7 linked regions of the Callithrix jacchus genome follow. The protein of the gene in region 1 interacts with the protein of each later gene in a pairwise test. Links are inferred from orthologs where the notes say so. Each region holds a gene or a part of one and is shown in the gene's direction. Other genes may lie near its edges.

The links.
Region 2: the proteins of PNMA1 (region 1) and ARID5A interact in binary tests that used the Homo sapiens proteins (3 or more experiments, as listed by UniProt). The two-hybrid records come from large-scale screens. The link is inferred for Callithrix jacchus from reciprocal best matches to the Homo sapiens genes PNMA1 and ARID5A.
Region 3: the proteins of PNMA1 (region 1) and TNNI1 interact in binary tests that used the Homo sapiens proteins (3 or more experiments, as listed by UniProt). The two-hybrid records come from large-scale screens. The link is inferred for Callithrix jacchus from reciprocal best matches to the Homo sapiens genes PNMA1 and TNNI1.
Region 4: the proteins of PNMA1 (region 1) and SPG7 interact in binary tests that used the Homo sapiens proteins (3 or more experiments, as listed by UniProt). The two-hybrid records come from large-scale screens. The link is inferred for Callithrix jacchus from reciprocal best matches to the Homo sapiens genes PNMA1 and SPG7.
Region 5: the proteins of PNMA1 (region 1) and TCEANC interact in binary tests that used the Homo sapiens proteins (3 or more experiments, as listed by UniProt). The two-hybrid records come from large-scale screens. The link is inferred for Callithrix jacchus from reciprocal best matches to the Homo sapiens genes PNMA1 and TCEANC.
Region 6: the proteins of PNMA1 (region 1) and SUV39H2 interact in binary tests that used the Homo sapiens proteins (3 or more experiments, as listed by UniProt). The two-hybrid records come from large-scale screens. The link is inferred for Callithrix jacchus from reciprocal best matches to the Homo sapiens genes PNMA1 and SUV39H2.
Region 7: the proteins of PNMA1 (region 1) and GPANK1 interact in binary tests that used the Homo sapiens proteins (3 or more experiments, as listed by UniProt). The two-hybrid records come from large-scale screens. The link is inferred for Callithrix jacchus from reciprocal best matches to the Homo sapiens genes PNMA1 and GPANK1.

What each region holds. Positions count from the first base shown.
Region 1 is NC_133509.1:108,629,327-108,633,664, reverse strand, and holds PNMA1 (paraneoplastic antigen Ma1), read left to right. Parts: upstream 1-1,417; 5' UTR 1,418-2,136; coding exon 2,137-3,198; 3' UTR 3,199-3,968; downstream 3,969-4,338.
Region 2 is NC_133515.1:6,485,515-6,489,785, forward strand, and holds the start of ARID5A (AT-rich interactive domain-containing protein 5A), read left to right. Parts: upstream 1-1,422; 5' UTR 1,423-1,489; coding exon 1,490-1,493; exon of another isoform or gene 1,494-2,014; coding exon of another isoform or gene 2,015-2,094; intron 2,095-2,095; coding exon of another isoform or gene 2,096-2,217; intron 2,218-2,219; coding exon of another isoform or gene 2,220-2,547; intron 2,548-2,548; coding exon of another isoform or gene 2,549-2,618; exon of another isoform or gene 2,619-4,271. UniProt on the Homo sapiens protein: DNA-binding protein that may regulate transcription and act as a repressor by binding to AT-rich stretches in the promoter region of target genes.
Region 3 is NC_133520.1:28,435,248-28,439,689, reverse strand, and holds the start of TNNI1 (troponin I, slow skeletal muscle), read left to right. Parts: upstream 1-1,566; 5' UTR 1,567-1,673; intron 1,674-3,092; exon of another isoform or gene 3,093-3,230; intron 3,231-4,442. UniProt on the Homo sapiens protein: Troponin I is the inhibitory subunit of troponin, the thin filament regulatory complex which confers calcium-sensitivity to striated muscle actomyosin ATPase activity.
Region 4 is NC_133521.1:47,177,509-47,181,190, forward strand, and holds part of SPG7 (mitochondrial inner membrane m-AAA protease component paraplegin), read left to right. Parts: intron 1-266; coding exon 267-392; intron 393-1,085; coding exon 1,086-1,248; intron 1,249-1,612; coding exon 1,613-1,786; intron 1,787-3,682. UniProt on the Homo sapiens protein: Catalytic component of the m-AAA protease, a protease that plays a key role in proteostasis of inner mitochondrial membrane proteins, and which is essential for axonal and neuron development.
Region 5 is NC_133524.1:13,886,108-13,889,789, forward strand, and holds part of TCEANC (transcription elongation factor A N-terminal and central domain-containing protein), read left to right. Parts: intron 1-2,438; 5' UTR 2,439-2,446; coding exon 2,447-3,499; 3' UTR 3,500-3,682.
Region 6 is NC_133508.1:15,841,611-15,845,292, forward strand, and holds part of SUV39H2 (histone-lysine N-methyltransferase SUV39H2), read left to right. Parts: intron 1-267; coding exon 268-939; intron 940-3,023; coding exon 3,024-3,170; intron 3,171-3,682. UniProt on the Homo sapiens protein: Histone methyltransferase that specifically trimethylates 'Lys-9' of histone H3 using monomethylated H3 'Lys-9' as substrate.
Region 7 is NC_133505.1:39,167,646-39,171,934, reverse strand, and holds the start of GPANK1 (G patch domain and ankyrin repeat-containing protein 1), read left to right. Parts: upstream 1-1,460; 5' UTR 1,461-1,691; exon of another isoform or gene 1,692-1,771; coding exon of another isoform or gene 1,772-1,790; exon of another isoform or gene 1,791-2,188; intron 2,189-2,277; 5' UTR 2,278-2,428; intron 2,429-2,802; 5' UTR 2,803-2,804; coding exon 2,805-3,433; intron 3,434-4,289. Other genes in the region: CSNK2B (casein kinase II subunit beta), read right to left, coding at 363-445, 767-842.

The sequences.
Region 1 (4,338 bases):
TTTAACTGCCTCAGTGACCTATCCTCTTTCTTCTCATGTGCCAGATGTTAAGACGAAGGAGGAATACAACACATACTCAAGCCTCAGCTGTTTAGTTGTTTTCACTGGGGCTCGCTTTTCTGGGATGGTATATATTATCAGACTGGCAAGCCTAACTCCATAGGTTTACAGGAAGTAGGCATATTTTTATAAAACAATTGTGTCCTCCCCACATTTTGCTATGTTAATATTTGCCTCTAACAATTTGCAGCTGTTTCACTTTTTCCTCATTTGTCTCTAAGTTGAAGGCCTTGTTGGAAGGGACAGCACAGGAACAGCCTTGACAGTCTGTAATTATTGTACAAATATTTTAATAGCATATAAATAAGTATATTCCTTTTATTTTGAAACAAATGATCAGACACTGCCTTTTTTGTGTTTGCTGCCTGTGGCACCCTTTTTTAAAAAGACTGTTACATATTAAAATAGTGTACATATATATATAAATATTACCTCTTTTGCTGTACAGTTGTGATAGAGACTGAAGATTTTATTTTTTGTGTGCTTTTTATAAGAAAAAAATTAATACACTAAAGAATCTTGCTGATGTGATTGTAATGTACCTATGTAACTTATTTACTTTTGAATGTTCTTCTGTATCTTTAAACCTTTTATTAAATAAGGTTTTAAAAATTCAGAGTTGCATGCTGTGTTCTCTGGGATTTTCACCATCTGGGATTGATGTAAGTGGGTCTTGTCTTGCTTGCACAAAGATTACTCAACATTTTCGAACCATACGGATTCTCTTTTAGCAGCCTATTGTCAATGATGCCAGCCAGGAAAAGGGAAATAACATATTAATGTTTACCTGGCTAAAAGATGACTGAGTAGACATAGACAAACATCTTTTTTACAAAATTTTAGACAAGAAAAAGGCAACTCCGTATCTTACAAAAATATACGTAAATGGCACACGCCGACATTTTGGCTGCGTTGGGATGAAATATGCAGGGTGCAGAGTGTGGTTGGGGGAACAGGGAAGCTACGGTTCTGAGGATATTCTCACGTGCAGGGTGGACTGGCTGAGCAATCTGAGATGAGTCCACCATGAGGGATGCATTTCCAACAATATCATCTTAAGTCCACTCCAGGATTGGGTTATTTTTAAAATACGGTGCTTAGCAGTCTTTGTTCTCTGTTTAAAAAAAAAAAAAGAAGAAGAAAATTACGCCATCAGAGAAACAGGTGCCCGGGGCACCATGGTAACCGCTGGACTCCGCCCCACCCCCACTCCCCCGCCCGCGGTGGGCCGCCAGAGCAGACGAGTCTCGTGCAGGCTGAGAAGCCGTTGCCATGGCGACACCCGAGCGGCTCCGCCGCGGGGGCGTGACGGAGTGGGGCAGACGCCGCTCACGGGCTGGCCCCACCCTTCACTGCTGCAGTAACATCGCCGCAGGTTGCGGGTAGGACACTACGTCTGGGTAGCAGCGCAGTGCAGATCGTTGCGGCCGCCGCTGCTCATCCTCTCTTCTGCTGTCTCCAGCCCAGCTTCGCCAGCTCTCCTGCTCCTCTGTTGCCTTCGTTTCTGGTCCTCGGCGGTCCTCGCCACCCTCCCGGAAGAGTCCCTGCTCCTGCCAAGAAGCCGCTCTCAGCTGGCCCGCAGCCGCCGCGACTTCGGCACAGTCTGCCTGTGCCGGGTCTCCCAAACGACCTCTCCTCGCCCTCGGAAGACCGGGCTGCGACCGCGAACGCCAGATCCTCTCTGGGAGCCGCCGCGAGCGCCCGACGACCACACCTCGGCGGTTCTCGGCCCATCGCGCCTGCCTTCGCCGCCCGCCTTCGCTCCTTGCCCGCTCCACGACGACGCGACGCCTCGGCTGCTGGCAGCGGACCCGGACCCGGACCCGGACCCAGACGCAAGATGGCGACGGCTGCGTGACTGCCTCAGCGTTTCCGAGCTCGTCTCCAAGTGCGTCCACTGACTGACTGTGGGGGCAGGGAAGGGCGAGGTCAGGACTCTGTGTCTTTGTTAATCGTGACTGCGTGAAACTCGCCTCCCTTGGGCCTACTTGGGGGGAGTGTCTGGCGTTGTTCTAAGGCCAGGAGCAAGGTGAGCCACTGTCTGTTGGTAGAATTAGCGTCTTGATAGTTGACAAAATGGCGATGATACTGTTGGAAGACTGGTGCAGGGGAATGGATGTGAACTCCCAGAGAGCTCTGTTGGTCTGGGGCATCCCAGTGAACTGTGATGAGGCTGAAATCGAAGAGACCCTCCAGGCTGCGATGCCCCAGGTGCCCTACCGAGTGCTTGGGAGAATGTTCTGGAGGGAAGAAAATGCGAAAGCAGCCTTATTAGAGCTCACTGGCGCTGTCGATTACGCCACGATCCCCAGGGAGTTGCCGGGCAAAGGAGGAGTCTGGAAAGTGTTCTTTAAGCCCCCGACTTCCGATGCTGAATTTTTAGAAAGATTGCACCTCTTCCTAGCTAGAGAGGGCTGGACCGTGCAGGATGTTGCCCGTGTCCTTGGGTTTCAGAACCCTACTCCGACCCCGGTCCCAGAGATGCCAGCAGAGATGCTAAACTATATTTTGGATAATGTTATTCAACCTCTTGTTGAGTCCATATGGTACAAGAAGCTGACACTTTTCTCGGGGAGGGACATCCCAGGGCCTGGAGAGGAAACCTTTGATCCTTGGCTGGAGCACACTAATGAGGTCCTAGAGGAGTGGCAGGTGCCAGATGCAGAAAAGAGGCGGCGGTTGATGGAGAGTCTTAGAGGCCCCGCCGCTGATGTCATTCGCATCCTCAAGACCAACAACCCCGCGATAACTACTGCCGAATGCCTGCAGGCGCTTGAGCAGGTGTTTGGGAGCGTTGAGAGCTCTAGGGATGCCCAGGTCAAATTTCTGAACACTTACCAGAACCCGGGAGAAAAGTTGTCTGCTTATGTCATTCGTTTGGAGCCTCTGCTACAGAAGGTGGTGGAGAAGGGGGCCATTGATAAAGATAATGTGAACCAGGCTCGTCTAGAGCAGGTCATTGCCGGGGCCAACCAAAGCGGGGCCATCCGAAGGCAGCTGTGGCTTAACGGGGCTGGGGAAGGGCCGGCCCCAAACCTCTTTGAGTTGCTGGTGCAGATCCGTGAGGAGGAAGCCAAGGAAGAGGAGGAGGAGGCTGAGGCCACCCTTCTGCAGTTAGGCCTGGAAGGGCACTTCTGAGTCCCAGGAAAGGCAGCTTTAGTGCAGACCCAGATCACAGCTACTGTCCTTGTCCCTGTGGGGTCTTACAGATGTGTCTGAGTAGTAAAGGCTTAGTCCTGTTACATTTGTTTTTGGAGGGCAGGATTTGTCAGGCCTGAGTATTCATGTAACATTCTAAAATTGTGCACGCAAGCACTGTGAGCTGCTAGCGGATCTTGCTGGCTACAATGCCGTTTACCTGGTTGGACACAGAGCTTAGTGCACGCGGTCATCATGGCCATCATAATCAGTTGTGAAAAACGTGTGAACCTGTGACACTTCTATTCCACGTTGAATGTGAAATTGCATGTTCAGATGTTTACTGCGGGGCCTGGCTCACAGGAAGTGTTCAGTAAAAGTGTGAACTGTTAGATTACTGATATTGTGGATAGTTTTCTGTCTACCATAACTTGTTCCAGATTTTATTAATGGAAGGGAATGTGCATTTATTATGACTCAACCTTACAATGTAAACGTACTATTTCTCATCTTTAAACATGTGGATCAGTTTAATTGAAAAGTATTCTGATACTGCAAAATGGGATGTTAAAAACTGCAGTTACGGAGCTGTGTAACCCATTTTTCACTGCATAAGATACAGATGTAAATTGCATGGAGAGGTTGATGTGCACCTGTTAGAGTAATTCACTTCCCCAATTTCAAATCTTTGTCAGAAAATAGTTCTTGTTCATACTAATTCTGAGTGTTCTAAATTTGAAGTTACATACAGAAATAAAAATGTTTTTCGATTTCTGTTGTCTTCTCCTTTTGCTGGCATGTACAAACATCTTTAGCCTAAGTAAACTCTGTCCATTTTTCTTATGAAGACTGTCATTAACTCAAACCATATGTTTTACTTACCACAGACACTCAGCATGTCTTCACCCACTACCCATCATTCACAGAGCTTTCCCCTCCATTCCCACCAGCATCAGGTGCACACTCACCCACCTCCTACGCTCTACACATTCACTGCCATCTCCCACTCAGTACTCCCACCTTAACATACACCCTCTTCCCACTCCACATGTACACTCTGCCAATCTCCCACCCCAACATATATTCCCATTTTCCTCACACCCCCACACACTCCCTCCCACCACCCAACACCAACCAGTC
Region 2 (4,271 bases), on another chromosome or scaffold:
CTGTTACCAACTGTACAGGTGCTGGCTCTTACAAGCCAACCCATTACGAGGTAGACAGGGGATTTATCCTGAAGAGCTCACAGTGTCGTCCGCTGTGGACTGAGCCTGCAGACATCTTCCAGCCCAGGGCCAAAGGATAAGGGTCAGAATTTCAGGTTCACCAAACTACATCCCTGGTCCGCTCCTTTAGTGTAAGGAGGAGCACCAGCATGACGAGTGGTCAGTAATGGGTGCAAAGGGAGTCGGGGGGATGCCTGGGTCTAGCTCTGGCTCCAACACCTGCCTGCTGAGTTACTTAAGTTAATCTATCAGACCTCAGTTCTACCCTATAAAATGAGGACCTACCAGCTGTGTTACTTGAGCTAATCTAGCAGACCTCAGTTTTACCCTATAAAATGAGGACAGTGATGGTGTCAAGTGCATAGAGCGTATTAAAATTCATCAACAAAGATTTTTGTGTAGCTTCTACACAAAATCTACACAGGGAACCCTGTCCCTGCTAGGAACAGGGTTCATGTCCTAACTAGCCACCTGCTAAGACTGAAACCCTGACCCACTGTTTCCTCCACTTTGGCCCCCACAGGTCCAAGTTACTGCTATGTCTGGCTGGGCACCTCCTCCTGCCTCCATTCACCCTAGGCCTCATTCCCACCTCCCACAGCCTGAACTCATGCCCTCTCTTTGGACTGCTCAGCTTGTAGCTTCCACTCTGCATTAGGTATGTGGACATTGACTATTACTGGCGGGCCTAGCCACAGAGCCTAGGCCAAGGATTTACTAGTTTGGTCCTTGTCTAACTCACACTAACCACCTCTCCTGTTTGTTGTTGTTTTGAGTTTGTTTGTTTTTGAGGCAGGGTCTCCATCTGTTGCTCAGGATAGAGTGCAGTGGTGTGATCAAAACTCACTGCAGCCTCTACCTTCTGGGCTCAAGTGAGCCGCCCGCCTCTGCCTCCGCCTCCCAAAGCGAAGGGATTCCAGGCGTGAGCCGCTGCTCCGGGCCTCACCTGGCCCTCTATGTTGGGCTGGGTGGGAAGTGGGAAATGCACAGGGTCACTTTCAAATCAAAGTCAAAAGCACTTTGCTTACTCCACAGTAAGCAAAACTTACTGTGTAGACCTCAGTGCTCTACTGAAAGCAAGGAGGATTTATCCAAACTCTAGTTTTGCCTCCGGGAAAACTGAGGCACAAGGCAGCAATGATTCCTGGGAGTCCTGCCTCTGCCCCTCTAGGAAAGGAGCCTATTCTAGGGGCCCTACTCGGAAGGGAGGGCGCGCACCACAACTCCCAGAGGTCCCTGGGCTCCGGGGGCGGTCCCGGTACGAAGGAGCCGGGCCCACCAATGGGAGCCCACAGTGGGGCGGGGCGGGGCGGGGCTGCGGGGAGGCGACCGGCCGGCGGCACCGTGAGCCAGTAGCTACAGGAGCGTCGAGTCCGTACGGCTACGCGCTGAGGGTCTCTGGGCGGGCGCCGCCGGACCTCGCCGGGCCATGGGTAAGTGGCTCTGCGGACGGCCCAGGATCTGCAGGGAGGGCCAAGGCGGTGGCGCCGGGTCCCCCCAATCCTCGTCGCCGTCGGTGGCGCCGTGGGGGGCGGAGAGGGGCGCGGGTCCCGGGGAGCAAGCCTGGCCCATAGTTTCAACGCCCCCCGGCCGGCGGGGAAAGGGTGAGTCTGGGCGTCCGCTCGCGCTTCGAGAAAAGGAAAGACAAAAAGTTTCGGCGGCCAGGGGCTTCCCGGGCGTTTATCTCGAAACTCTTTTCGCCGACTCCTGCCTGAAATGTGCCTAGCCCGGTACGTCTCTGTAGTCCCACTTCCTGCTGCGGTTTCCACCTCGAGCTGGGCTCAGCTAATTTGTTGTGACAGCTGTCGGCAGCCACCCCTCCGCCCCGTGACATCCCGCGGGTTTTAGAACCGCGGCGCCGCGGGGCACAGGAGCCGGGTCTAGGGCGCGCGGCGCTTTCCTCTGCGGCCGCCGTTTCCTGAAAGGGGCTGAGCGGGTGTGAAGAACTTGCTCAATGCGCTTTGAAGGCTCGACTGTTCCTCTTTCGGCCGCGGGCTGCGCCGATGGTCCGGGGCGCCCGGCTTCTCGCCCCCTGTCCTTTCTCTCTTTTCCTCTCGGGTCTCTCCGCGCACCCATCGCAGCCCCGCAGGAGAGGGGTCGCTTCCCTGGTTGCTCTCCTCTCCTGTCCCGAGTGTGTCCCCTTCCCTTCCCTTGGTCTGAGAAGGGACGGGCTGGCGGCCGGGGAGCTCAGGGAGAAGAGGGCAGGAGCGCAGGCTTCGAGCGTGCGGGAGATTCCTGGCTTCGCGCTCGGCCCGAGCTGCGGGGCAACCCGGGACCGCACACAGTCACTCAGCGGTGTCCAGGAGTCGCCTGGGCCAGGGTCGCGTCACCCTCCACTCCGCGCCGGCGTGGTAGGGCTTTCGGGATGAAGGACTCCCGAGGACCCAGGGGGTCCCGAGGCACTGCGGGGCCAGTGCCCCTTTGTTTGCAGAGTCTTGGGCCAGCAAGGAGGGCTCTGCGGGCACCAAGGGAGGACAACAGGTGCCTCGCCCCACCCAGGCCTCGTTGGTGGAAGCCCACACGCATGGTGGCGTCTTTGTGACTACAGGCAACGCTAGAGCACAGGAGGAGTGGGAAATGGGGGCTCGAGGGCTTCACCCCACAGCAGAGCTCAGAGCCCAACCTAGGCCGTAGGGACCCGCCTGGGGCCTAGAACTTGACGCGGCAGAGACGGAAAGGGCCTCCGAGAATCTGCCTCTACAGTTGGGAGACATCTTGGAGAAGTCACCTGGCACCTCTGAGCTTCTGCCCCCCGTAGGTGCAATGGGAACACACGAAACCTGCGGAGTTCTCACTGTCAGTCACCACCAAACGTGGCCGAGACTCGGTGGGGCGGGACAGTGAGGGTTGAGCCCCATCCTGGAATAGGGGCTTTTAGGACATCCCAGAGCCCGGTAAGAGGGACAGGGAGAGTGGGGCTTGGAAGTTGGTAGCCTCACATTCAGTGTCCCGCGCACCCTCTTCCCTTTCTTTACCCTCTGGTGGCTCCTGTGACCTCAGCTGCCCCCAGACCCTGTCTCTCTCTCCCTCCCTCAAGCTGAGGTACTGAGGCTGGGCTGTGGCTTGAGCTGCACCTGTGCCCTGGTGGGGATGGGGGTGGGCCCAGGTCCATCGCGTTTCTCCTCATTGCTGGCTTCAGCTCAGCCCTTGGCAGGCCTCCCCTCCCCAAACTGCCAGAGCAAGCTCCGCGGAGACTTGGCCTGCCGCCCCTCCCCAGCCGCCGAGTGGACCCGCCGCTTCTCGGCTTCAAAGGCTGTCTTTGTTTCGCTCCAGCTCAAGCTCGGAGAAACTTAAGCCAACAACCTCAGCCGAGGGGGTGGGGCGGAGTCTGCCGGTTGTTATTGAGGCTGCTGTTACCATTATTGTGGTAATTGACGCAGTGTTCCCAGTCCGTGACTTTTCATGAAAGGAAGTGTCACTTCCTTCCCATCACACCCTGGGTGAGTGGGGCGGGCAGCAGAAAGTGGGGAGGGAAAGATAGAAGGAAAGAGGTGTGTGCCTCCAGCAGACCCTTAAGCTTGAGAGCTGTGTCACCGTGGACTACTTAGTCACTGCCCCTCTCTGGGCAACAGGAGTCTGTAAGTCCAGTGCGCTCATCCTGCTGCACCCAGGAGGCTGATGTTTCCGGAGCACCGGCTCGGCAGTGAGGCGCCTTGGGGAGGGAGCAGGACAGGCAGACTGTGGTTTGTGGGGGAAGCCTCCTTTCTCTTCTCGGTTTCTTCTGCTGAGAACATTGGGTGCTTTGAGTCTAGCATGCCCATCTTGTAGATGGGGAAACTGAGATACAGAGCAGTGACCAACTTGATGAGAAGTGCAGCCATGAGTTGCTAGAGCCCCTTGGCCTATCTGTCCTCTTGGTCTACTCTCATCTGCTTCCAGCCTGATGTCGGCCAGGGCAGGGGACCAGCTGACTTCCCCACATCCACCCACTGCCCAGTCCCATAGCTACCTTCTAGTCCTGGCTAAGCCTCCTGAGACATTTAAGTTTGTCTTCAGTGACTTTTGCCCACTGCCCCCCACCCCCACTGCCTTCACCTTCCTGCCTTTGCATATTTCCCCTTTGCCAGGTTGGCTGAGCCCTGGCTAGAGCTGGCCCCCTACTCTCTCAGGTAACAGGTAGTTTTTTAAAATGAATCTCAGTAGGTATCAACAGGTCTTTCTTCCTCAAGATTACGGAGATAACACCCCTTATTCAAAGATGGTGGGTCCTC
Region 3 (4,442 bases), on another chromosome or scaffold:
CAAGGCCAGGAGTTCGAGACCAGCCTGGCCAATATGGAGAAACCCCATCTCTACTAAAAATACAGAAAATAACCAGGCATGGTGGTGCACCTGTAATCCCAGCTATTCAGGAGGGTGAGGCAGGAGAATCACTTGAACCCAGGAGGTGGAGGTTTCAGTGAGCCGAGGTCATGCTATTGCACTCCAGCCTGAGTAACAGAGTGAGACTCTGTCTCAATAAATAAATAAAAGGAAAGTTATTGTACACATCATAATAAGCCAAGGCAATAAACTCCGGGAGGCTCATCCCCCAAGCCCCTAACTTCTTCCTCCCTCCAGCTGCTCCTTTTGGCTACAGCCCACCTTCATTACCATCCCAGCCTCTCTACCTGGAATCCTGTGCCCCCAACTCCCCTGCCTCCCCAGACCCTGTTCTTTCTCCCTGGCAGCCTGCTCGCACAGAGGCTTCTCAAAGGTGACCTGACCAGAACAGACTTAGAGCAAGCTCTATTAGGCAGCAGAATGTTGGTGTACAGAAGACAGGGCCTTTACCTCTGTGGGCATGGGGGCATGTCTCCTTAGGACACCCCTGCCCATTACTCTCCCTCTCCAAATGGGGAGCATGGCTGGGGCTCCCTAACCTCCTGCTGCTTGCGAAGCCTCTCTCTGGCATCTGAGAGGGGTCAGTGTCCTGCGTCAGCCCATGAGATGACAGACTATAATAGCCACAGGATTAACATAGCAGGCATTGTCTTTCTCTGACTATAGGGTGGGTATTATGTGTTCATCAACCGTCCTAAAAATACCCAGTAAACAGGTGCAGCCCCTGCGGCACCAGTCTCCTGGGATCTGTTGGCATCTGGCTGGAGATGAAGATTAGGGCAGGGGAGAGATGAATTACTCTCACTGGGTTCCAGGCATGGTACTCGGTTGTCTCCTGATTTCAGGAAACCCACCTGGAGGGGGATGCAGTGTCTGCAGACCCTAGGACCTCCCTGAGCGTAAAGTTGTGCCTTGCTGCCGCTGCTGTTCTGTTCAGCCCCAGAAACTCTCGCTGGGTTCAGCCTGCAATGCTGCTCACATCACTCCCCCTCACAGCCAGCACCCTCCTATCCCACGTGCACCAGGGAGCCACCGAAAAATCCCTGAAAGCTGAGTCTTCAGCCCTCTCCAATTTTGGAGCATGGGTTCGGACGCCTCATTTCCATATTTCCTTGTAAGAGATGCGGGGTTAGCCCAAAAGTCCTCTTCCCCCAGCCACTACTGGCCCCTCTGGGCCTTTGCCGTGACCCCTGGCTTTCCCTTATTCCCCCTCCGTGTCTCATCTCTGTTCAGTCCCCACACCTGGTCTGGCTGTTTAGTTTCTCCCTTCCTGCGGCTTGAGCCTCCCTAGGCGGGTGCTGGTTTCACTCGGTGGCACCTATGTGTGTGTGCTCCGGAGTCACAAACTCACGTGACTCTAGGCCTGTGTGCCTGTGTGTGCATTGCAGCACGCATCTGCCCTATGAGGGGTGTGTGTGGTGGGAGGGGTGGGAGGGAGGAGGGGCAGCAGGAGGGGGCAGTGGGTCTGTTCTATTTTTACCGGCCAGTTGCTGCTGGCCACAGTTTTCATAGCCTCCCCTTGGCTCTGCCCCTCACAGTCTGCAGTCTACGGCGAGGCACAGGCCAGTCCCGCTCCACAAGGACTGAACGAGGTAAGCGTCCACAGCCCAGGACCTCAGATCTAGGTTCATCCCAGGCAGAGACCCTGGGGCTTTTGTTTAAGGAGAAAGCAAGGAAACTGTTTCTTGCCTGTACAGTGTTTTGCTGGTAGAACATTCCTAAAAGACTCCCACGGCGTTTTGTCCCACAGAATGGCATCTCTTCTGCAAAACTGTAGTGAGAGGCGAAAGCTTTTCCTGGCTATTAGGAGGCTGGGAGCAAGGAGCAGAATCTTCCTCCAGGTTCCTTAGGAGCCCCAGGGCAGAGCCTAAGGGATGGTGCTTTCACACGAGATGCCCAGCAGGGTGTGGGAGGGAGAAGCACCCAGGGGAAGGGGTGGCCCTGGGATCTGGGAGCCGGAGCAGAGGGGCTACAATTGCAAGCTTAGGCAGAGCCGGGTGAGCGTTCCAAGTCAGGAATGCCTGCAGCAGGAGAGAAGGAGGGTGCAGGCGCAGGACTCCCAGGGAGCCTAGAAGGCAGGGCCAGAGCCCTCTGCTGACCAAGGAAACCATCTTGCTTCTGTGTTCTTTGTCTTTGAGGGATGCTGTCTCCTCCCTTTGCCCATCCCTCTGTACTACAGCACAACAGCAGGGGGCGGGGGCAGACCAGCAACCCCTCTTGACTGCTCCTGCTCAGCGCTCCTGGCTCTGAGGAGCCGCAGTAGGTATTGGGGGTCCTCTTGGAGGAAGGCAATGGTGGCAGCATTTTGGTTTGGGGCACAAGAGCCAGTGAACACATAAGCCAGGGCAGCATCTACAGGGCAACCCAGGGCTTGGGACAGGGCGCTGTGTGGTTGGCCCGGACTCGGGTGGGGGCTGAAGGCAGCATCTGCCACCGGCTCTGGGAGTCATAGTCCCACAGCAGCTCTGAGATTAGGCTTTGCTGTTCAGAGCTCAAGATGGGGTTGTGGTGTGTGGTAGGAAGCCCAGAGCCATGGGCTTGGGAGTGTGGCCTGTTAAATAACCATCAGTTAAGGAGGACAGGGATGCCCTTGAATGGGGGTCCAAGGTCGGGGGCAGGGAGCAGGGGGAAGCACATCAGCCTAACTAGATACTTGTGGACGTGATTATTGGGTGTGCAAAGTGATCAGTTTCTTCTCCTACACATACACTCTGTCTCTCTCGCACACTCTCACACTCACACACAGTCACATTTACACACACACACACACACACACACACTCAATTTCATAGTCTAGTTGATCGTCCCTTCCATGCTGCAGAGCCTCAGGGAAGGGAAAGCCCAGCTCTGAGGCAACCATCAGAGACTTTGCACCCTCCCTCGGGTGGAGGATTTTCTCATTATCTCCTTGCTTGCTACTTGTGGGGGAGATGGAATCCTGGCTCTCCAAGCCTTCCAGTGGCTGCTATCTACATCCTGACTTCTTATCAGCCCTTGCTTGTCTTCTACAGGGCCCGTGTCTGGTGGGTGTGAGAGCACAGGCTGAGGCCTCTTGCCTGACGTGGGACCCCTCGGTCTGGCATTTGTCAGTGAGGCAGGCTGGGGGCAGGCCCTAGAGCTTGGCAGGAGGTGCAAACTGGCCTTGGCAGGTAGGGCCCCACACTGGGGACAGTTGGCTCTCTGAGGGAGAGAGGGAAGCATGATCCCTGCCAAATGCCCACCAAGGACAAGGCACATCCCAGGGAGGCAGACACAGACCTGGTGCCCTCTGGACACTGGCATTCCTGGAGGCTGGTGATGGACAGATGGGCCTGGAGGTGTCTCTTCGCTAGCTGGTGTTTCCTTTGGACTTCCTCAGTGTCTTTGGAGAAGGAGAGCCCTCAGAAGAAGCAGCTGCCTATAAAATCTAATTCCAGCCAAGCATCTCAGGAATTCCTGGATGGTCTTCACACCCCTCCCTTTGTGCCCCAGCATGACAGCTGAGACTCGGGGGTCACACTACCCTCCACCTCCTCCACCCCAGCCTTACCCTCCCCTGGTGGCAGAGGCAGAGGTAGAGGGAGGCCCAGGAGGCTTTCTGACCCAGTGGAGATTCAGGGGAGGTGGCCAAAGCTGTGTTCACTGGGGTCTGAACAGTGCTTCATGGGCAGCAAGGGAAGGGAGAAAATTAGGGCAGAGGAAGGGGTGTCTCTGGGATGAAATTAGTGGCAGGCACTTTGCAAGGGTCCTTTAATTCCCCACCTCCCAGGCCCCCCAACCAGGTTCTTGAACCAAGTTCAAACTCCTGGCCCTGAGCTCCATGCCTGCCCCCTCCCCACACACCGGGCTCTCCCACCCTTCACTTCACAGCCTGGCCCACCTGCTCCCCACCTCAGCTGTCCCTTTCCTTGCCCGGAGCTTTTGCACAGTTCTCCCCACCAGCCCCCCACGTTGGAATGCTCTGTGTCCAGGCCCAGGCAAGACAGTGAAGGATGTCTGGCTTTGGAACATCTCCCTCCACAGCTGGACAGACCCCCTCTTTGGCCTGGGCCCCAGGATCACCTGGTCAGGGGGCTTCAAACTGTGCGACACCATCAAATGTCCTCACAGAAGGCCACAGGGCTGCTTTGATAACCCCCTTCCACTAGTGCCATTTTGCTCTTTTTGTTCGTTTGACTTTTAAGTTCAGGGGTATGTGTGCAGGATGTGCGGGTTTGTTACACAGGCAAACGTGTCGTGGAGGTTTGTTGTGTCAATTATTTCATCACTCAGGTAGGACAGACGTACCCATTAGTTCGTTTTCCTGATCCTCTCCCTCCTCCCAGCCTCTACTTTTTGATAGGCAAAATGCCATCTTGCTTTTACTGATTGAGTTTATTTTA
Region 4 (3,682 bases), on another chromosome or scaffold:
TGTGCCCGGCTGGGGATAATGGTCTTTAAGGTCAGTAGCTAGTCAAGTCTCTTAGTAATTAATGACGTCAAACAAGTTTTCCTTGTATGCCTGAAGACCGACCCATGTGCCCTGTCAGTCTGACTCAAGGGGAGCCAAAGGGTTCCTGGGATGGAGACGTGGGGCGGGGGCTTGGAGCAGCTCAGGTGCGTGGGCTGAGCCTCCTGCATTGTGTTGCTGATTTCCTAGCTTTGCACAGCTCCTTGTACTTCCTTCTTTCTGCACAGAATCAGCTTAAAATGGCTCGTTTCACGATTGTGGATGGGAAGATGGGGAAAGGGGTCAGCTTCAAAGACGTGGCAGGAATGCACGAAGCCAAGCTGGAAGTGCGAGAGTTTGTGGATTATCTGAAGGTGAGAGCCAGCGCTGACCAGGAGGGAGACGTGAGCAGACAGATGACCTGCCTGCTCTCCCAGAAGGCGTTTTGTGGGGATCAGAGCCTTGGGACCCGGAATTCCATCGATGATATGTTGTGGGTTGGTGGTGGCCTCTCACCTGTCCCATGGTGCCTGTTCAAGCAGCAGCGCAAGCTCCATGCACAGGGTTCAGCCAAGGGGAGGGTGCTGAGGCCCACGCCTGCTATGCCATTAGCCATCCTGGATTCCTGGCAGAGCTCTGTGCTTTTCCCAGAACCACGTAAACCCCATACGGAGTTCGTGGCAGTGCATGACCTGCCTTTCATTTGCGCCACTTCAACATTCTCTCTGAGGGCGTGGTGTGGTGGATCATGCCTGTAGTCCTAGCACCTCGGGAGGCTGAGGCAGGGGGATTGCTTGAGCCCAGTAGTAGGAGATAAGCCTGGGCAACAGTGAAACCCTATCTGCAAACAATGTTTAAAAGTCGCCAGGCGTGGTGGCACATGCCTGTATGGTCTCAGCTGCTGGAGAGGCTGAGGTGAGAAGGGGGCTGGAGCCCAGGAGTTTGAGGCTGCAGTGAGCTATCATGGCAGCCACTGCATTCCAGCCTGGGTGATGCAGCAAGACGTTACCTTTAAAAAAAACCTGAAACCGCAAGTCGCCAGTGTCACATTGTCTACTGCCATCCAGAGCCCGGAGCGCTTCCTCCAGCTTGGCGCCAAGGTCCCGAAGGGTGCGCTGCTGCTCGGCCCCCCTGGCTGTGGGAAGACCCTGCTGGCCAAGGCGGTAGCCACAGAGGCCCAGGTGCCATTCTTGGCAATGGCCGGCCCGGAGTTCGTGGAGGTCATTGGAGGTAGGTGTTGTGGTTGGGGGCTGTGGATGGCTCCTTTCACACATCCTTCCTCAGGCAGCTAGACTGAAGGGGAAGCAGGTGGGCGGGGAGGAGAGAGGGAAAGCGAGGCTTGGCTTAGAGGAGGTGTCTGCGGCGCACATGATGTCTACTTTGAAACTGCTCTCACTTGGGCCTGTGAGCCAGTACGGTGTGTGTGAGCCTTGAGGGGCTGCCAGGGGCCCCCGGGAGCAGCTGCTGTGTGTCTCTTTGGAGGGCTGAGGCTGGTAGGTTGATTCATCTTTGGGGGACACCTTTGTCTGGCCCAGGCACAGGAAGAGGCTCTGTCTTTCATCTGCCCATTTCCTGGTTCTCTCTGTCCCCTCAGGCCTTGGTGCTGCCCGTGTGCGGAGCCTCTTCAAGGAAGCCCGAGCCCGGGCTCCCTGCATCGTCTACATCGACGAGATCGACGCGGTGGGCAAGAAGCGCTCCACCACCATGTCCGGCTTCTCCAACACCGAGGAGGAGCAGACGCTAAACCAGCTTCTTGTGGAAATGGATGGTCAGTGCCTGTGCGCCCCGCGCCCCCATTGCACCATCAGAGGCTTCTGATGTTCTCAGGACACTCATTTTCTGGGTAGATGAAGCTGTTTACATTTATTGTTCCAGCGTCTTAAACTAGTGCTTATGAGACGTGGTTTGTCCTGAGTCCCTGGTGTCTGCTGCCCCTGTGCCCCTGCATGCTGCAGGTGGAGATGATATGAGAGCACACACTATCAGCAATTCGTAACTGGAGAGCAGTCGGTGGAAAAACTGTCATCATTGTGCTGTGCTCAGCAAACACAGCTGCGGTGGCTCACGCCTTTAATCCCAGCACCTTGGGAGTCTGAGGCTGGTGAATCACCTGATGTCAGGAGTTCATGACCAGCCTGGCAATTTGGTGAAACCTTGTCTCTACCAAAAATACAAAAATCAGCTGGCAGTGGTGACACATGCCTGTAGTCCCAGCTACCCAGGAGGCTGAGGCAAGAGAATTGCTTGAACCCAGGAGGTGGAGTTTACAGTGGGCTGAGATCACACCATTGCACTCCAGCCTGGGTGACAGAGGGAGACCCCATCTCAAAAAAGAAAAAAGAAACACAGATTTTAATTTTTAAAAAGCAAGGTCAAGGCAATAGTATAAAAGAAAACTAGGATTATAAGTGGTTTGTCAGATGTAATTTTTTTTTTTTTTTTTTTTTAATTACAGTCTTGCTGTGTCACTCAGGCTGGAGTGCAGTGGTGCGATTTTGGCTCACTGCAACCTCTGAATCCTGGGTTCAAGCTATTCTCCTGCCTCAGCCTCCCAAGTAGCTGGGATTACAGGTGCCTGCCACTATGCCCAGCTAATGTTTGTTTTTTGAGCTGGAATCTTGGTCTGTGCAGTGGTGCGATCTCAGCTCACTGTGTCCACTGCCTCCTGGGTTCAGGCGATTCCCCTGCCTCCACCTCCAGAGTAGCTGGGACTACAGGCCCCCATCCCAATGCCTGGCTCGTTTTTTGTATTTTAGTAGAGACGGGTTTCACCCACCCTGTAGTGCGGGGATTACAGCCACTGTGCCCAGCCCTATTTAATTTATTTTTCATTTAGTAGTTTGTGTTTTTTTTTGAGTCTGTCGCCAGGCTGGAGTATGGCGGCACAATCAGCTCACTGCAGCCTCCACCTCCGGGTTCAAGTGAGTCTGTCTGATTGTGTGGCCATGTCTGTCTCTGTGCCACGTGGGGAGGGTGTGACACTGGTTAGGGCGCCACGGCCGGGCACCTCTTGTGTGACTCCTTGAAGATGGCTTCTGGTCCGGCTTTGACAATGTTTTTCTTTTATATGGAGCTGACCCAGTAAAAGTGACATGGAATTGTTTTTTTTTTCTGAGATACTTTGCAGGGTTATTTTTTGGGGCTGGCTTTTGTTGTAGCAAAATGTCCAGGTAGCCAGGCTTGCTGTGCATGCCTGTGTTCGCGGCTGTTGGGGAGGCTGAGGGAGAAGGAGTGCTGGAGCCTAAGTTAGGGGCTGTGCTGTGCCGTGGGCTTCCTGTGAGCTGCCACTGCACTGCAGCATGGGTGAGGCAGCCCGACCTTGTCTCTAGAAACAATTTTAAAAATACATTAACGTAAACTGGCCATGTGGATGGATCATTCTGAAGTTTATCGTAAACTGGCCGTGTGGATCATCCTGAAGTTTTATGTAAACTGGCCGTGTGGATCCTTCTGAAGTTTTACGTAAACTGGCCGTGTGGATCATTCTGGAGTTTTACGTAAACTGGCCGTGTGGATCATTCTGAAGTTTTACGTAAACTGGCCGTGTGGATCCTTCTGAAGTTTTACGTAAACTGGCCGTGTGGATCATTCTGGAGTTTTACGTAAACTGGCCGTGTGGGTCATTCTGAAGTTTATCGTAAACTGGCCGTGTGGATCCTTCTGA
Region 5 (3,682 bases), on another chromosome or scaffold:
GAGTGCAGTGGCATGATCTCGGCTCACTGCAGCCACCGCCTCCTGGCTTCAAGAGATTCTCCTGCCTCCGCCTCCTGAGTAGCTGGGACTACAGGTGCATGCCACCACGCCCACCGGATCACAAGGCAGGATCCTCCCAAAGTGCTGGCATTATAGGCGTGAGTGACTGCACCCGGCCTGTCTTAAGCCTTTTCAAGTGTGCAGTTCAGTAATGTTAAGTACATGTATCATTCCAGAGGGAAGGTGGGTAGAAGGTGATTGATCCATCACTCACACCATTTTTGAGTAGGGATATCTTAAATGTATACAGTTTATCATGAAATCATATTAGACCTATAACTTTTCTGATTGTGAAAACAATACATACTCATCACAGAAAATGCAGAAAAGAGTAAAAGAACAAATGAAAATTACCTAAAATCTTTCCATTCAGAAAATGCCCCTCTTAAAAATTTTGTGTATCTCTTCAGTCTTTTCTCATATAATTCTTAAATAAAATTTGGATCAGATTCTATTTTTAAATAACACCTTTATTCAGATGTAATTCACATGCCATACAATTCACCTGAAGTGTACAATTCAGTGTTTTGTAGTATATTCACAGTTGGGTAACCCATCACCACAAATAAGTCAACTTTAGAAAATTTATTTGTCCCACCCCCCTCCAAGAAAAATCCTGTATGTTATCAGCTGCTGCTCCTCCTTCACCCCACTGCTCTTCTGTCCCATTCCACCAAGTCAACAACTAATCTTTTTTTCTGTCTCTATAGATTTGCCTGTTCTGGACATTTCGTGTAAATAAAATCATATAATATATGGTCTTTTGTGTCTGACTTCTGCTCAGCATAATGTTTTCAAGGTTCATCCATGTTGTAACCTGTATCAATACTTCATTCCTTTCCATGGCAGAATAATATTCTGTGGTGTGGATGAATCACATTTTATTTATCCATTCATCAGTTGATGGACATTTCGATTATTTCCCACTTATGGCTATTATGAATAATATTGCTATGAACGTTAGTGTGGAAGTTTTTGTGTGGGCATACGTTTTCATTTCTCTTGGTTCTGCTGGGTCATATGATAACTGTAGTTTCATATATAGTTTCAAATCTTGATTTTTTTCACATAATGACTGTTTTTCTATGTCATGAAATATTATCTAAATACATGATTTTTAAATGGTTACATTATTGTATCATCCTGGGAGTATGCCGTATTTTTAACCATTCTCCTGTTTGAGGGTCTTCCAGTCTCTCCTAAGTTAGAAGAAAATTCTTACATATGCAGTCTCCACTTCTCTCATTTACTTAAATTTATGGAAGTAGGATTACTAAAAGGTCATTGTGTTTTATGTCACTTGTCAGATGGTAATTGGGAAGATTGTATGAATTCTCTCTGTAATCACTTTAGTGTTCTTAGCCTGTGTATGTTCAGTGGTGATTATTTAGTATCAAGTGCTATAAAACAGAGCCCATAGATTTTTGAAAAGACACAGTCCCTGCTGTCAAGATGCATATGTTTACATTTAGACCAGACAGATAAATATAGATCCAAGGACATCATATAGACAGGATTATGTACATTATGTGGAGGGAAAAAATAGACCACTTAGATAAAGTAAATGTTTGCCTGCCTAGGATGAGATTCACACAGACATAATCATTGAGCAACTTTTCACACTTAAAAAGTTTTTTTTAAATTAACGAAACCAAAATGTAGGAACCAGTAAGTCTAAAGTCATAAATCACCTGGATCCTTGAGAATGAACCTTTCCCTTGTTCAGAAGACTCCTAAGGCAGCACAGTGTAGCCTGTTGGCTTTTGGGACCTGCAGATCTAGCTCTGGCTGCTTTTCAACCTGTGCTATCTCACAGTTTCCTTAGATTGCTTGAGACATTAGCAAACCTTTTCTGTCCTGTTTCTTACTCTTTTATATTCAGAAGAATGCCACTTTAAAGATTATGAAATGAGCAAGTAGTTCAGTTATGTAGCTGACTCTGGGGGAAAAACAGTCTAGCACTGTTCAGCCTTGCCATATTGATGCTGACACTGGCATGATTTCATCTCCAGCATGACCACCAGATTCCACCCAAATGGAATGACTAAAAGATTAAAGATAATTGATTTGTAAAATTGGAGCTGGACAAGCTATGGCAGATCCTCCAGCAAGCCTCTAAGCAGATGTTATATAGAGGCTTTGCAATACTGGTTTTTTTGTTTGTTTGTTTGTTTTTTAACTAGTAGGAATTAAACTCTTGAAAGTAAACCATACCACATTAAAGATTCCATTTTCTAGCATGTCACATGCATTTGTATTACATGACTCCTTCATAAAACATTGCCTAGGTAACTGACAAAAAGTGCTTTTTAATATCCAGAAGCTGTAGCCAGCAAAGACAAACTTAAGAAAGCGGAAACCTCTTTTTTGCTTTGCAGTTGTAAAGATGTCTAACAAGAACCAGATAGCTGCCAGAGCCTCCCTTATTGAGCAACTGATGTCTAAAAGGAAATTTGAGGATCTTGGCAACCACCTTACTGAGCTAGAAACAATTTATGTGACTAAGGAGCATCTCCAGGAGACAGATGTGGTCAGAGTTGTGTACAGAGTCCTGACAAACTGCCCCTCTGTGGCTTTGAAAAAGAAAGCCAAGTGTTTGCTATCAAAGTGGAAAGCTGTTTATAAAGAGACTCACTTCAAAGCAAGGGACAGCCCTAAATTACTTCCTGTGAGGGGTAATAAAGAAGAAAATTCAGGACTTTCTCATGACCCAAGTTATGATGAGACACTGGGCATCTGCAGCTCGAATTCTCTATCGTCCCAAGATGTTGCAAAACCCAGTGAAATGATTGTGCCTGAAAATGGAGCCATTCAATTGAAACCTAAGGAAGAGCATTTTGAGGATGGTGACCCTGAATCCACTGGGAAGAGATCAAGTGAGTTGCTGGATCCAACACCCATGAGAACTAAATGCATAGAGCTTCTTTACTCAGCTTTAACTACTTCTTCCACAGATCAACCCAGAGCCGATTTGTGGCAAAACTTTGCAAGAGAAATTGAAGAGCATGTTTTTACCCTTTATTCAAAGAACATCAAAAAATATAAAACTTGCATCAGAAGCAAAGTTGCCAATTTGAAGAACCCCAAAAATTCTCACTTAAAACAAAACTTGTTCTCTGGGACCATGTCTCCACGAGAGTTTGCTGAAATGAGTGTCATGGAGATGGCCAATAAGGAACTGAAGCAGTTGAGAGCCTCCTACACAGAATCTTGTATTCAGGAACATTACCTTCCCCAAGTGATTGATGGCACACAGACAAATAAAATAAAATGCAGACGCTGTGAGAAATACAATTGCAAAGTCACCACAATTGCCAGAGGAACACTTTTCCTTCCCACCTGGGTGCGGAATTCAAACGCAGATGAACAAATGATGACTTATGTAATTTGCAATGAATGTGGGGAGCAGTGGTACCATAGCAACTGGGTGTGCTTGTAACTGTAAATCAGTGTTCTCTTAACAAATAACCCGAGTGATACCTTTTATTTGTGCAACTCTTTTGTGCTTTTAAAAAATCTTATACACACTACTCTCTAAAACAGAAGGAGGAGGAAAGAAAGTCATTAGCTGAAGCTCACATCACCATCCCTAAAAGTTACAGTTTGGGGAGAGGGAGTAGAT
Region 6 (3,682 bases), on another chromosome or scaffold:
GTACCTTTATCTTTTTCCAGGTAAAACTCTTTAGCCTCTTATCAAACATGTTATGCCATATCTAAATTCTATATTTTATGTAATAAGGAAAAATAGTTTTATTTGTATGATTTGTACTTCATGTGTTAGGAACCTGTTACTACATGTTCTGAACTATTAGTAAGAAAAATGGTAATGGATACCTTATTCTTTATGATTTTTAACTATTTTCAGTAAAACTGGGAAATAACCATCTGATTTGCATTTTATTTTCTTTTTTATTTTAAGGATATGGAATATTATCTTGTAAAATGGAAAGGATGGCCAGATTCTACAAATACTTGGGAACCTTTGCAAAATCTGAAGTGCCCGTTACTGCTTCAGCAATTCTCTAATGACAAGCATAATTATTTATCTCAGGTAAATAAAGGCAAAGCAATAACTCCAAAAGACAATAACAAAACTTTGAAACCTGCCATCGCTGAGTACATTGTGAAGAAGGCTAAACAAAGGATAGCTCTGCAGAGATGGCAAGATGAACTCAACAGAAGGAAGAATCATAAAGGGATGATATTTGTTGAAAATACGGTTGATTTAGAGGGCCCACCTTCAGACTTCTACTACATTAACGAATACAAACCAGCTCCTGGAATCAGCTTAGTCAATGAAGCCACCTTTGGTTGTTCATGCACAGATTGCTTCTTTGAAAAATGTTGTCCTGCTGAAGCTGGAGTTCTTTTGGCTTATAATAAAAACCAGCAAATTAAAATCCCACCTGGTACTCCCATCTATGAATGCAACTCAAGGTGTCAATGTGGACCTGATTGTCCCAATAGGATTGTACAAAAAGGCACACAGTATTCACTTTGCATCTTTCGAACTAGCAATGGCCGTGGCTGGGGTGTAAAGACCCTTGTGAAGATTAAAAGGATGAGTTTTGTCATGGAATATGTTGGAGAGGTATGTTAATTTGCCACATAGCAAATGATGGGTATGTAAGGTTTGTACTTTTAGAAAATTACCTTTTTATCTCTGTAACAGATTTGGTACATTTTGATATTTTCATTTGCAGATATGTAGAAATTCATTTTCAGATTTAGAAGAGTTCACTGGCATATTTAGAAATAAAAAATGAACAAAAATATATATTTTAACAATTCAGTATAGTCATCTTTCAACAAATATGCATTTCCACTCATGAAAGCTAGCATTTGTAAAATTTCTTTCTTTTTTTTTTTAAAGAGACGGGGTTTCACCATATTGGTCAGGTTGGTCTCAAGCTCCTGACCTCAGGTGATCCACCCGCCTCGGCCTCCCAAAGTGCTGGGATTACAGGCATGAGCCACCACACCCAGCCTGTAAAATTTAAAATATGACAACTTTTTTACCCAAAAGTCCTAAGAAGAAACTCAGATTTAAAACTTGAAAGTTGTAATTTCTTTCATCTATTTGACCAAATATGGTTAAGTGTAGTTGGCAGAACTCTGTTTTGTATCAATATGAAAGATAGTATATTGCATCCATAAGAAAATTAGACTGTGCATCTGTAACTCATTTTTGAACTGTGAAGACCATTCTCAAAACTACCAAATACTAGCAAATGTACTTTTATGCAAATCATATATATATAAATGTAAAAAATATTTATTTGCCACGTGTCACATACTGTTCTGAGCACTTGATGTATTAATTTACTAATCCTCTTCACAACTCAGGTAGTACTTTTTTTTTTGGGGGGGGAGATTGTACTATTATGTCCATTATTTTAGTGAAAGAAATCGAGCACCTTGCCCAAGGTCACATAGGTCACATAGTAATAAAATAAGCAAGATGCAAAGCTCAGAATCTTTGCATCTTGACCATATAGTCTTCACCATGGCACCACACTGCTTAGAACTGAAGGGTGAGTTAAGCTGTAACTAGAAGGATAAGAATGTGGCTGCAAATCTGAAGTTGTCAACTCTGGTTTTTTTAGTTGGAATTGGGTCACCTATAATTATCTGTATTCATCTAGAATTCTGAAATTAGATGTCTGTTTTAATTTGTTATACTTTTAAGACAGTGGTAAATTATTGTAAATTACTATTCAGTATACAACATCTTGCATAATCAAATTTTCTTTTCGTTAACCAAAATTTTAAGTTGCATTCCTAATGAGTGCAGCAGCCAAATTTGGTTGTTAACATAAAGTATTTTAGACACTTTTGGTTTCTTAAGCTGAGTATGTCATAAAACTGTGTTCTTAAGAGCAGAACTATAGATGATGCTTTTGGACTTACAGAATTTCATGAAAATAACCTATTCAACAAAACAAAGCTTTCCATTCCAGAGTTAACATAGCTTCTCCCCTGTATTTTTAACAATTTTCCATTTGTAACTGCATATAGATAACTTACAGGAAAAATGTGCCTGGATCATATTTAGACTATATACTTGCAGATTTAGTCCTTAACATTCAGTTGTGTCCTGTAGAGAGCTATAGCTTTTTGAACATCCTAATTATAATGAAAGTAATGCAGTGTCTCAAATCCTGCTTAAAAAGTCATAAATCATCTGGGTACAGTTAACCCCAGCACTTTGGGAAGCCAAGGCTGGAGGCTTACTTGAACCCAGGAGTTCCAGACCAGTGTGGGTAACATAACAAGACCCCCATCTCTACAAAAACTAAAACATTAGCTGGGTGTGGTGGTGTGCACCTGTGGTCCAGCTATTCAGGAGGCTGAGGCAGGAGGATCACTTGAACCCAGGAGTTGAAGGATGCAGGGAGTCATGGCACCACTGCTTTCTAACCTGAGTGACAGAGAAAGACCCTTTAAAAAAAAAAAAAAAAAAAAAAAGTAATCTTTTGCACTAGCATTTTTCCTCTCCTCATTTTCCCACCTCTTTCCATCTGATTCTTAGTTTGTGTGAATGTTTGCTTTGATGACCCTTGAATTTCTTACTTTTTAAATATTTGTAGGCATTCACATATTAATAGGTATGTAGATGAATGCTTCTTTAGTTCAACAATAGCTACATAATATACTATAGTTTTTTCCGTTTAGGTAATCACAAGTGAAGAAGCTGAAAGACGGGGACAGTTATATGACAATAAAGGAATCACGTATCTCTTTGATCTGGACTATGAATCTGATGAATTCACAGTGGATGCAGCTCGATACGGCAATGTGTCTCATTTTGTGAATCACAGCGTAAGAAGACATACATAAACTTTAGACACAACTAACAATTCAACCTAGTACTATTTTCCATAGCTACAGATTAATTGTCTTGAGGCTACATATCCTTTTAATTTTTCCAAAATATGTATTTTACAATGAGAGTGGCATCTGTTAAGTTATGGTATTTCGCAAAATAGCATGTATTGCTGTATTAGGAAAATTAAATATTTGAGGTACCTACCAAATATTAATAGCATGTATTTTGCGAAAGTCTTTACATGTGTTACTTCACTTAAACTTTGTACGGTAGGTATTATTTTTATATCACAATGAGCAGAGCAATTAATAGGTGAAATGTCCAAGAATCACACACAACTTTGTTTCTTAATGGAAGTTAACACAACTAAATTTTAGGATGTACAACTAAAGGTAAATGTATTTTTAAAAAATGTAAACGTTAACTTTTTATAAAATTTAAAGATTTGTAGAGTATTTATGTAGGGTTATTTTTCTAAATTATAAATTAGTATTCTTCCTTACCT
Region 7 (4,289 bases), on another chromosome or scaffold:
CTACTTGGGAGGCTGGAGCAGGAGAATCACTTGAACCTGGAAGGCAGAGGTTGCATTGAGGTGAGATCACACCACTACACTCCAGCCTGGGTGACAGAGCAAGACTCGGTCTCAAAAAGAAAAAAAGAGAAAGTCACAAATTGCCTAGTCCAACGTTATATTGCTGGAGGATGGCAGAGTTGGGACAGGCCCCAATTTTGCCACTTTAGCACAGATTTGCCGGGGGTTACTGAGGGGACTCTTCATTGATGGGAAGTTTTCAAGTAGCATATAAGAGAACGATGAGGAAGTGGAATATGTGGAGAAACGTCTAGTGGGAATCTATGTGGAGCTGGCAAGGAGGGGGGTTGAAGAGAACTCACTTCACAGAAGAATTCATTGCCACGGAGCCCACAGAACCAGGAAATCCAGGACACCTCCTCTGAGCTGCTCATCTTCACGTCAGCTGGAAAACGAAGAATGTCAGTAAAGCTCAAGTTCTCCCTCCTTGCCTCTGGTATCCTCCCTCCTCCCACATTCGGCCCTCCAACCACGGGAGACTTTAGAATTTGGAGCCGTCCTTTTTTAAAGGATCCCAAACTCTGAAACACTCCTCTCCAGCTCCTCTAATTTACGTCTCAGCTCCTTTTCTTTGAGGTTAAACACACTTTGGGGTCCCACCACTTGAGAGAACCCAACAGATACTTTGACCCACCAGCCTGACCCACATCCCTGGAGCTCCCGAAGGCCAGGGCCCTCTCTACTTTGTGTCACCTCCAGCACGGACCTCGGCTCAGGCTCCCTACCACTGCAGCTCTCTGCATGACCCCGGCGCCTTTCCCAAGCGTTTCGAAGTTTATCATTCTCTAGCAAGAGCCGGGCCCCTCCTCTTCTTATGGGCTGGAGCGACCGTCAAGTCCCTTTCACTGGAGTCCACACATCTTGCCTCCGCTCCTCAGGCCACCTCTCCCTCCTTTGTGCCGGACCTGGTCGCTTCCTCCCCCGCCCCCACATCAAAGTACGGAGACCCCATGTGCTGCTCCCAACAAGAGACTCTGAGTAGCGACGACCTCAGACTCACCGCCTGGACGGGGACCAGGACTGGGGTGGGGTAGGGAAGTCGCTAGTTCCAAAGAACGGCGGCGACCGCTACAGCGCAGGCCGCGGACCCGACCGCGGCAAGAGAAGTGGGGTGGGGGGGAGTGGAAATTGGGGAGGGTGGGGAAGAGGGCAACACGCAAGCGCCAAGGGTCAGGTGCTGCGATGGATGCCGGGACACGGAGTCCCAGGTAGAAAGAGAAACTGGTGAAATGAAGGAAAAGCGAACTACCAATCCCAGGAAGACCCGCGGACGACCTGGCTGTCACGAAGCCCCGGAGGAGGACGCTTGCGGGCGGGGCACAGCGAGAAGCCACCGGAAGCGGAAGCCAGGTATGACGTTTGGGGCCAGGGAGCCTGGGAAATATAGTTGTGTGCTCACTGGGAGAAAAGCCGAGATGGGGCGGGGAGAGGAGGGAGACACGCAGTTCCCGTCTAGTTCCGGCGCAGCGGGGCGCTGCTGCCCAGGGGACTGGCCCATCCCCGGCCAATCCGCTGGGTCCTTATTGATTGTTGAGCCCCTAGTGAGAGTCAGTCCCGCCGGACACCCTTGACTGGCCTCCTGTTACCCTCCCGGCTCTGGCCTCATGAGGCGAGAGGTGCAGTTTGGCTCCGTGCGTAGGGACTTGGGTTGGGTGGGCTGGGCTGAGCTGAGCTGAGCGTTGTGAGAACCAGAACGGCCCAGTGCGGTAACCTGAGGTGGGGCCAGCCATTTCGCTCGTCCCCTTGCACTTCTCCTTTTACGCTCTAAGTGTGACCTTAGAACCCTGGTCAGAGTAATGGTGAGGGGCAGGCGTGACGTTATTTCATTTCACGGCTTCTCGGCATTCCACAAGTTTCCCTCCGCCTCCTGAGGGCCTTTCCTAACACGGAGAGTGGATTCCCAGGTCCAGAAAATGGACTTGGAGCGAGGGGGCGGGGAGGGGGGCGGTTCACGTTGAGGAAGGCGAAGGGCATTGTGGGGGCGTATAGGTAAAAGTAGAACCCTAACCGACAGATCCTGGTGCTCGCGCCAGCGGGGCGCGCAGAGCTTTGCGCGTTTGCTATTGGAAAGGTTCCAGCGCGGGAAACTGAACTGGGAGCTTTGCGCACGCCTGAGCCCTCAAGTAATGTGGGTTGTGGTTTTTGTTGTTGTTGTCGTCGCCACGCATGCGTCTTCGTGCCGTGCGGCTGTTTGATTGTGTCAACTCTTCTGTTTAGAATAGTGCCATTTTGCCGTACGAAAGCTACACAGCATCGCAGACTGGAGCCTGTCCTCCAGATCTTCCTAGGGAGTGACTTCTGTTTCGGAGAAAACTCCAAAATGGTATCGAGGAAGATTTAAAGGGACAGGCTGATTTTTTTCTTAATGGTATGTGTGTTTTACGGAGGGGTAAAATGGTTTCAGAAAGAGGCTGGTATTTATTGTTGGTGAGGATGGGGGTGGGAGTGGGGGCGGGACGCAGGACCGCTGGACAACTGTCTCATGGAGTTTTATTAACCTTTGCTAAGGAGCAGAGTCGGTTATTGTAGGGTTCTGTGTTTTTACAGAAAACCTCTTTCCCTTAGGCCCTGCAAGGTCCTAAGTTGTGGCGTCATTTTAGCGGCAGGAGGGTGTTTTTTGACTAGTTTTTCTCATCCCAGCATGTCCCTGGAGACTCTGGTTGCTACAGGGGTCACCAGTAGCTTGGCTTGCTTGTGTCATCCTTCCCTTGCCTGGTTTCATTTTCTCATTTCTCCCAAAAGCCATGTCCCGGCCCTTCCTCATCACCTTCACCCCAGCCACTGACCCCAGCGACCTCTGGAAGGATGGGCAGCAGCAGCAGCCACAGCCCAAGGAGCCAGAGTCCACCCTGGATGGGGCTGCAGCCCGAGCTTTCTATGAGGCCCTGATTGGGGATGAGAGCAGTGCTCCTGACTCCCAGAGATCTCAGACTGAACCTGCCAGAGAAAGAAAGAGAAAGAAAAGAAGAATAATGAGGGCAGCTGCGGCAGAAGCAGTGGCAGCAGGACCATCAGGAAGACATGGACAAGGGAGATCCCTTGAGGCTGAGGAAAAGATGACTCAGCAGATACTGAGGGCAGCCCAGGAGGGGGACCTAGCAGAACTTAGGAGACTGCTGGAGCCCCATGAAGCAGGAGGATCTGGGGGGAATATCAATGCTCGGGATGCCTTCTGGTGGACCCCACTGATGTGCGCTGCTCGAGCGGGCCAGGGGGCAGCTGTGAGCTATCTCCTGGGCCGTGGGGCTGCCTGGGTGGGGGTCTGTGAACTAGGGGGCAGGGATGCAGCTCAGCTCGCTGAAGAAGCTGGTTTCCCTGAGGTGGCTCGCATGGTCAGAGAGAGCCATGGAGAGACAAGGAGAACAGAGAACCGGTGAGGGGAAGCTAGTTCAGACCCATGTTTCAGTGTGTTCTGCCTTTCTCAGCCACTCCACACCAGAGGCCCCAGCACAGTGCTGAAGAGTTCTTTCCTTATGGTCATGTGTAAATTGTCATGGTGGTGTAGTCAAGTGGTTATGAATGTGAGCTCCCTGGATTGATTTATGTTATTATTTTTTTGAGACAAGAGTTTCGCTCTTGTTGCCCAGTGATCTCGGCACACCACAACCTCTGCCTCCTGGGTTCAAGTGATTCTCCTGCCTCAGCCTCCGAGTAGCTGGTATTACTGGCATGCTCCACCACACCTAGCTAATTCTTTACTTTTAGTAGAGACAGGGTTTCTCCATGTTGGTCTTGAACTCCCAACCTTAGGTGATCCATCTGCCTCGGCCTCCCAAAGTGCTGGGATTATAGGCGTGAGCTACCATGCCCAGCAGCTCCTTGGCTTTAAAGCCTGATTCCACTTACTTGGGCAAACAACCTAATGTCTACATGTCCTAGTTTTCCATCTTAGAAATGGGGGTAGTAAGGATTGTTGTTAGTATTCAGTGGGTTAATACATGTAAAATACTGGGTGTGGTGGCGCCTGCCTGTAGTCCCAGCTATTCGGGAGGCTAAGACTGGAGGATCTCTTGAGTCCAGGAGTTCTAGGCTGTAGTGTGCCATGCCGATTGGGTGTCCTCACTAAACTCGGCATCAATATGGTGACCTCCTGGGAGTGGGGGACCACCAGGTTGCCTAAGGAGGGTGAACCAGCCCACGTCAGAAACGGAGCAGGTCAAAACTCCCGTGCTGATCAGTAGTGGGATCGCACCTGTGACTAGCCACTGCACTCCAGCCTGGGCAACAAA